Mus musculus: one gene and its partner. The protein of the gene in region 2 binds, or shares a complex with, the protein of the main gene of each other region. Links are inferred from orthologs where the notes say so. Each region holds a gene or a part of one and is shown on either strand. Other genes may lie near its edges.

Region 1 (4,285 bases), on a different chromosome or scaffold from region 2:
CTGGGAATGGGAGCATCAACATGCTATGGTGTTTGCTTAGGAATCAATGGTTCGCTTACTGCTTCCTCAAGCGTTCTGAGTGGGAAGTCTGCACAACAACTTTCTTGAAAGAGTTCTAGTCAAAGGCATGACTTTATAAAGCTCTTATAAAAGTGTTTTGTGCCTCCTGCTACAATTTCCTGGGCATGCTTGAAAACGTAATGCTTGAGTAAATTGAGATTTTTTATTTTCAGTTTGAGACACACAGGTCTCTTTGAAGAGAAATTTCGAGCCAATCAATGATTAGAGAACCACAGAGCCTTTCCATCCCCCTCAGTTATGAGAGGGTAATTAATAATCAAGCATGGGCATGTTGATATGTATACTTAAGTCAGGCAGACAAAATGGCTCAAATCATAACTGACAAAGTACTGCTTCATCTAAGACTCTTGATTTTAAACGAATGAATTTATCCTCTCCCATTCTTTGATATTAACACCGACAAAACTTTGTGATAAGAGTCCCATAATTATAGATAGATAGATAGATAGATAGATAGATAGATAGATAGATACATAGATAGAGGATAGATAGTTAGATAGATAGATAGATAGATAGATAGATAGATAGATAGATAGATAGATAAAAACAGGCAAATAAAAAAACCAGCCATGAAGATCTCTAGTCTCCAGTACAGAGGTAGTTGTGCCCCGGTGTGGCCACTCATGGCTTCTGCTGTCCCGATTATAAATCCTTTGACTTTCTAGGGGAGGCTCTGCCTCCTCTAGGTCTCTGACCGATGGGGACTCTGGACTCAGGGACAGCGGGAATGCTCACCTGGCCAGCTCTGTGGCATTGCGGAGCTCATGATCCAAGAGCTCTGCACCCTGCCTCTGCCAGCAGAAACCCCATCCCGCTCTCTTGTGTCCAGAGCTACAAGTTGCTTTCGATCCCATGGACCAACGGAAGCCATGACCCAGAGACCCACAATTAAGGCATGAGACAGAGCCGGATAGAACTTGTGACTCGCCGGTGCGACTTGGTCCTGTCTCTGCCCCACATCCTGAAGCCGAGGAAAAGATCCCCCCGGAAGCTGCGTGAGCTCCGGAGGGTCCTGTGTCCCGACATACCCTCGTCCTGGGTTCTCTTGGTCCCCCAGCACCGCCCCGCCTCCGGTCCCCGCCCAGCGCCCTAGAGCGTTTAGACCTAGTCACCCGCGCCTCCAAGTTCCATTGCCGCCCCAGCCTGCCGCTCCCAGCTACGGACACGGAGGCCATGTGGCTCACTAAGCCCAGCACCCCGGTGTCCGCACTGCTGCTGCTGGCGCTGGCTTTGTCCCCGCCTGGGACTCAGGGGCGGCCCCAGAGAAGCTTGGCAGCGCGTGTCGCTGAGCTCAGGCCAGAGCTCTTCCTCCCTGTGACAGGGACTCGCCTGCCTCCCAGAGCCTCCCGGAGCACAGGTAAGCCCTGTATGACCCCTGACCTGCCCTTTCTACAGTCTAACCACTCTTATAGCTGGGCAAGCTGCTGTCGGGAAGGCTGAATTAAGTAGAGCAGAGGGTGGACACCTGTAGATTCCTGGGAATCTTTTCCCTGGGAAGGAAATAACAGGTTGACTATATTTGCCTTGGTTCAGTCTTCAACAACAAAATTCGTCTGGGGGGAAAAAAATCAGCTTTATATGCCTCATTCCTAACTGTGGGAGGTCTTTTGGAAATACATTAACCCAACTGTGGAAAGACTCGGGTCGCAACCTTGCCTTTCAGGATGATGGACAATCTATGTATGTGACAATAGATCACCGTCCAGAGATCTCTCTGGGTCTTCTGCGGTTTAACTAACATGGCACTCCTCAGGCAGAGTGGGAATTTCAGGGAGCTGCCACGGCTGAGGCTGCTTCGATCTTTTTTGCCCCTGGATCAGTTAGATGGGCCCTAAACGCTACAATCTCTTCCAATGTCAAGTCTGGACATTCCTGCTATCAAGATGCTTAGGAGGAAGGTAGGAAAAGTTGTCAGGATAGAGAACCAGCACCGCAAGACACCTACACACAGAGATGTGTGAATGAAAAGGCAAGGGGAACAGGAGGTGTAGAGAAAGGATTGCTGGGAGCAGTGTAAGAGGCTGGCAGGTGGTGGTGAGGAAGAGAAAAGCCACTTTGGAGTATCTTTGCATAAGCCTGTAGTCAGAGCAAGGGGAAGCTGGAGCAAAGGGCCTGTCTCCCTGGCCTTCACTGAACTTGCTGAGAGAACAAAGCAAGCACAGGGGTGGCTTGGGTTAATTATACCACTGCACCCAAGGCCTCTTCTGCACCCTCTCTCCCTTTCTCTCTTGCTCCTTCCTTGAGCCTTATTTTCTTCCTTCCTTTTCTTCTCCCTCCATTCATTTTAATTCCCTTTTGTCTGAAGCAGAGTCGCACTTTGTAGCCCCCGCTTCACAGCCTCCTGGGTCAGCCTTAGAATTATTGGCATATACTACCATAGTAGCTCAGGCTTCACTTTAAAGAAAACAAGAGGTGAGGATTTCTTAGTCTCTCTCTCTCTCTCTCTCTCTCTCTCTCTCTCTCTCTCTCTCTCACTCTCTCTCTCTCACTCTAGCTGGTTTTGTTTTGTCTTGAAGTTTTACTCCATAGTTCAGACTACTTGGAACTCAATCTATAGTTCAGGCTGTCCTTGAATTTGCAGAAATCTTCCTGCCTTCACATCCCAAGTTCTGGGCTAAGAGGTGACCCATACCTATTTTACCAGTTATGATATAAATATATTCCCAGTCACCCTATAGCTTCTAGTGAGAAATTCCTTCCCAGGTACATACCTTGCAGAGAACTGAGATCAAGAAGATGGATAGGAGGACAAGTGTGTCTGTCCTTCACTACATGTCTGAGGGAGAGAGAGTAGGGGCGTGCACATACACAGACTGAGTGAGCCAGGCAGGGAGAGAAGCAGAGGGAAGTGACAGAAAGACATGGAAGGCTAGTAAGGGGATATAGACCAAACCTATTTATCTGGAAGCTCTCCAGATAAGGCAGTAGGGGCATTCAGTATGGGGGAGTCATACCTTGATGCTTTCACATTATTATACCCTTTGACTTGAAAATTATTGCTAACAAAACTATTTATCTCAGGTACTAGTGTTGCTTTAGAATACAAACGGAACGTGAGAAAAACATCAAATTGCAAAATCACTTATGGTAACACATGAATTTTACCTGTTTTATTTTAGTTTAATGCGATTTCTCTGGTTAAAGACATTGGAGAAAATTGGGGGATATAGTTCAGTGGTAGAACTATATCCTAGAACACATGCGGGCCTAGATTCAACCAGCAATTCTCCTCCCAAATGACAAAGAAGATGTAAAAACCGTATAGCCTCAAAGAAAATGAGCTATGACTCACCCTCAAAATTTATTGCTTTCTACAGCTGTTTGAGGTGGCCTCATCTTTTGATTACTGTATCTTGTTTACATGGGGAGAGAGAGGGTGACTGGTTACATCTGAGTCTATGAATGGAACTCTTGACATGGATCAAGGAAAAGCAAGGACATGAATGCAGAGAAGACAAGTTCCCATCGGGAAGTTTTCATAGGAGCGGTAAGTGGTCATAATTCATCCAGGAGGAAGCGTCTCCCAAGTCCTCGAGGCCAACGACTGTCATCCATGTTGAGCAAGCCTGCAGTTGCCCTCTGTTAGTCTAAAGTAGAACCTGTAATGTTACCCAGCCTCAGCTGGTGAAAAAAAAAAAACGAGTTCAGGGGTGGTTTAAAATGTCCTGGAACTCCCACTGGGTAATCGTGTGAGAGTAGCAGAAGTCTCTTGTGTCCCTGCCTGTGTTTTTAGGCTTAAGTTCTGGAATTCTTTCTTTTTTTTTTTTTTTTCTCTGGAATTCTTTCTGCACCTGTAAAAACTACCTCAAATGCAGCTTCTCCTCTGGTACTTTGACCACACAGATCATCTCTGGCACTGCATTGTGGTGGATCTTCCTGCACACCACAGAAGCAGTTCTGCAGTAAACACCAGCTGGGGTTCTAATTTAACTTGGTTCTGGCATTTACCATCTCTTGAAGATGAGAGTCAGAACCTACAAGCTGAGGACTGTCTCTAAGACTGTCACTGCCTCCATTGCCAACTGCAAACTCTGGGTGGTTTTACTTGTGATTCTGAGCTTCTAGCTAAGTAAGAATCAAGGTTCCCATACTGTCCCCTCAGATTTCCACTAATTTTCTGCAATGGCTCATAAAAGTGAAAATATGCACAGTAGATACGGCATAGGGGAAGGGGCATGGGTGAGCAAACATCCCACCCCACCCC
Region 2 (3,617 bases):
TGAGTTAGATGCCCTCTGGGATTCATAATGCATCATGACAGGAGGAAGGATGGGGAGGAGGGCTTCAAAGTGCACATCATTGCAGAAGGAGGTTGAGGACTCACCTGAGTAGAGTGACATTGGCTGGTGAAACCTCAGTGAGCCCTGGGGGCAAAGGCCAGGGCTGGGCAGGACTGAGTCCCACCTGACAATAGTAAGGGTTGGGTGCTGTCCTGATGGCAGAGGATCGAAGCTTGCTTAGCTCAAGCTCAGGGCCTGGCAGCCTGGTCCCCCACAGGCCCTGACACTTCTGGTTCACTGTGGGTGAGAAGAGAGGTATTTATCAGGCCCACACTGCTTCCCCAGGCCCAGGACTCCCTGGCACTACTCCTAAAAGCTGAGAGGACTCCACCATTGCTCTGTGGGGTAAGGGCCATGATGTCAGCCACATTTAGCCTAGAACCACAGAGAAGCCCATCACAGCCTAGGAGAGAAGGGTCGGCCTGCATCAGCCATGCTAGATGCCCATACCTAGAATCAGGACTGCACACATCATTAGGAGACTCAGTGCCAAGGCTGCCACTACAGCTCCCATCAGGATCAGAGGGCTTGCGGTGGTTGGCAGGTCTAGGGAGAAAGAACAATGTCACCTCCAGCAGGAGGGTCCTCTGTCCTGCTACCCTCAAGTATTTTTCTCGTTTGTCTTGTGTTTTGTTTTGTCTTGTTGTTTTTGAGATAGGGTCTCCCAATAACCCAGGCTGGGCTCAGACTCTCAATTCTGCTGCAGCCTACTCACTGCTGGGATGAGAGGTGTATGCTACCATGACTGGGTACCCTTAAATCTTATCCATGCTTCAAGCCCCATCTCAGTGTTTACTTTCCCACAGTGCCACCCACAGTTGTCCCCAGACAAAAGCAACTCTCCCTCTCGAGAGCCCCTTAACTATTTGATACCTTCCATAGCAACTGCCATTTTTAGATACATATCTATATCTAAATATCCATCTTGCCTCCCACACTGGCCTACATGTTCTTGACAGGAGACTGTGCCCTGATCCATTTCCAATGCTCTATGAAGACATACCCATGCAAGTGACATTATCCACAGCTAGCTCCGTGCCCTCTGGGCACGTGCATTCGGCCGTCCAGAGCTCTGCCTGCCACTGGCAGTCTTTGAAAGGGCAGTGACTGCAGTTGGGATGCTTTCGGATCTCCACCTCCCCATGGCCCTCTGTGACTGCAGAGTAAAAGAGTAGACATGGTGGGATGGGAAGTGGGGGTGGGGATGGGGATGGGACACACAGGTCTTTCCAGTCATATGGCTACTCCTAGTCAGGAGTGGTCCCAACCACAGCAACACAAAGGGTGATGTCAGAGCCCCGGGGACTTAATTTCTGTTGACTGATTTCATTCAGAGGTAGACCAAGCCATGCACACACATGCTTGTGAAGTCAGACTTTCTTTTCTTCTTCTACTATGGTGTCAGGTCACCAAGCTTGAGAGGCAACGGTTTTACCAGATTGAGGAGGAGCTGGCCAGGCTGAGAATCAGGGGTTCCAGACAAATACCTGCCAGAGGCTGTAGGTAGAGCTCACCACTGGGGTGGACAAAGGATGTGCCATCTTCCCCATCAGCCCAGAGGAGGTCAGACTCAGAAGTATCACCGCCTTGAAATGGAGAGTGATAGAGGTTTTTGTTTTTTGTTTTTTTGTTTTTATTATTATTACATGTAAGTACAGTGTAGCTGTTTTCAGACACAGCAGAAGAGGGCATCAGATCTCATTACAGATGGTTGTGAGCCACTATATGGTTGCTGGGATTTGAACTCAGGACCTTCAGAAGAGCACTCATTGCTCTTAACCCCTGAGCCATCTCTCCAGTCCCCAAAAGGTGCTTAGCATCTTTTGTTTGTTTGTTTGTTTTGGTTTTGGTTGGTTTTTTTGTTTGTTTGGTTTTTTGAGACAGGGTTTCTCTGTGTAGCCCTGGCTGTCCTGGAGCTCACTTTGTAGACCAGGCTGGCCTCAAACTCAGAAATCCACCTGCCTCTGCCTCCCTCTTAAATCCTCTGCTGGGATTTAAGGCGTGTACCACCACCACCCGGCTGATGGAGGTTTAACTACAAAAAGGAGACTGGTTGAGGAGGAGCATGCAGCTGCCTTGTGTGGGAAGCTGGCTTATGACCAGCAGGAAAGCTAAGATCTCCCATTGTAAATCGTGTGCTAATGACACTGCCATTGAGGGGCTAGAGAAAGGGGGACTGGCTATTCTGCTGGAACCCAAAGACCTGGCTTAGCCTGGCTGGACCCCTTGTCTGTCTGAGCCCCTCCAGACCATACATTGAGCTGTGAAATGAGGAATGTTCAACCCACAAACTCCATTCCTGTGTGAACAAAGATGTGTCATGAAATATTTATGAACAGTCCAGGCCTGATAGACTAGGAGTTCTACATCAGTATCCCCAAATTCTGTAGCATCTTAGGACCTGTTAAAACAGAAGACCAGCACCTTTCCTGCTGACCTCCCCCTTGCCCCCCATGCATTTCTCTTTAAAATGAACTATAGTAACTAAATTTTAATCAACAAATAAGAACTGTGTAGTATTGTGCATAGTATGATACTTTGAAATGTGCATGCATTGTGCAATCATTTAAGCCGTCAAACCGTTTTTTGTAGTGAGAGCACCTCAGAAATACTCTCTTAGCCATGTTGTTGAGACTAGGGGTGTAGCCTCGTGGGAGAGCATTTCTCTAGCATGCCCAAGGCCCTTGGTTTGACCATAGGCTGGGTTTTATTCCCTATACTGACAGAACCAAAAATATTGGTATTAATTGTGATTAGTATATTGAACTAAAGATAACTTAAATTGACTCCTCCTATCTAATTAAGTTTTGTTTTAATGTTTGACCAACATCTCAGATTTTATCTCTGTATTTTTCTTTCTTTTTTTTGGTTTTTGGTTTTGGTTTTTTTGTTTTTTTGTTTTTTTGTTTTTGTTTTTTTTTGTTTGTTTGTTTGTTTTTTTGAGACAGGGTTTCTCTGTATAGCCCTGGCTGTCCTGGAACTCACTTTGTAGACCAGGCTGGCCTCGAACTCAGGAATTCGCCTGCCTCTGCCTCCCGAGTGCTGGGATTAAAGGCGAGCACCACCATGCCCGGCTGAATTTTTATTTCTAATAACTTCTGTGATAAGCACACTTTGAGAACTACTGATTTAAACCATTCTTGCTCATAGGCCTCCCAGCGCAGCATGCTAACAAGACCGGCCCTAAATTCCTTAGACTTTGGCAGAGTAAGGATTTGTTTTGGAACGGGCACTTGATTTAATTGCGTGTGTGATTTGCAATTGATTTTTGGGCTTTTCTTTTTTGTTTTTAAATCAAAGTTCCGTTGTGGGGCCCTAACCGGCCTGAAACTCACAGAGATCTGCCTGTTTCTGTTTCCTGATAGTAGAATTAAAGGAATGTGCGACCAAGCATGGGTAATTTGGCCCTTTGTAAAAGACAAAACAAGACCAGCCTGCTTGGTGGTGGTGCAAGCCTTTCATTTCAACTCCTGGGAGGCAAAGGCAGGTGGGTATCTGTGAGTTCGAGGCCAGCCTGGCTTACAGAGGGAGTTCCAGGTCAGCCTGTCTCAAAAAAG

The links.
Region 1: the proteins of Ltk (region 2) and Alkal1 are in contact, whole or in part, in a crystal structure (PDB 7NX0), measured with the Homo sapiens proteins. The link is inferred for Mus musculus from reciprocal best matches to the Homo sapiens genes LTK and ALKAL1. Residues at the interface, in NP_002335.2 of Homo sapiens: Tyr124, His140, Phe143, Ala250, Ser251, Pro252, Glu253, Leu359, Phe360, Leu361, Gln362, Leu364, Ala365, Val366, Glu368, Glu372, Glu374, Arg376; in NP_997296.1 of Homo sapiens: His93, Arg96, Leu97, Asn100, Thr101, Arg102, Glu103, Arg112, Arg115, Leu116, Arg119, Leu120, Ser123.

What each region holds. Positions count from the first base shown.
Region 1 is NC_000067.6:6,358,077-6,362,361, forward strand, and holds the start of Alkal1 (ALK and LTK ligand 1 precursor), read left to right. Parts: upstream 1-1,254; coding exon 1,255-1,438; intron 1,439-4,285. UniProt on the Homo sapiens protein: Cytokine that acts as a physiological ligand for receptor tyrosine kinase LTK, leading to its activation. Monomeric ALKAL1 binds to LTK, leading to LTK homodimerization and activation.
Region 2 is NC_000068.7:119,754,068-119,757,684, forward strand, and holds part of Ltk (leukocyte tyrosine kinase receptor isoform D precursor), read right to left. Parts: intron 1,647-3,617; coding exon 1,548-1,646; intron 1,217-1,547; coding exon 1,064-1,216; intron 607-1,063; coding exon 511-606; intron 298-510; coding exon 105-297; intron 1-104. UniProt on the Homo sapiens protein: Receptor with a tyrosine-protein kinase activity. Following activation by ALKAL1 or ALKAL2 ligands at the cell surface, transduces an extracellular signal into an intracellular response.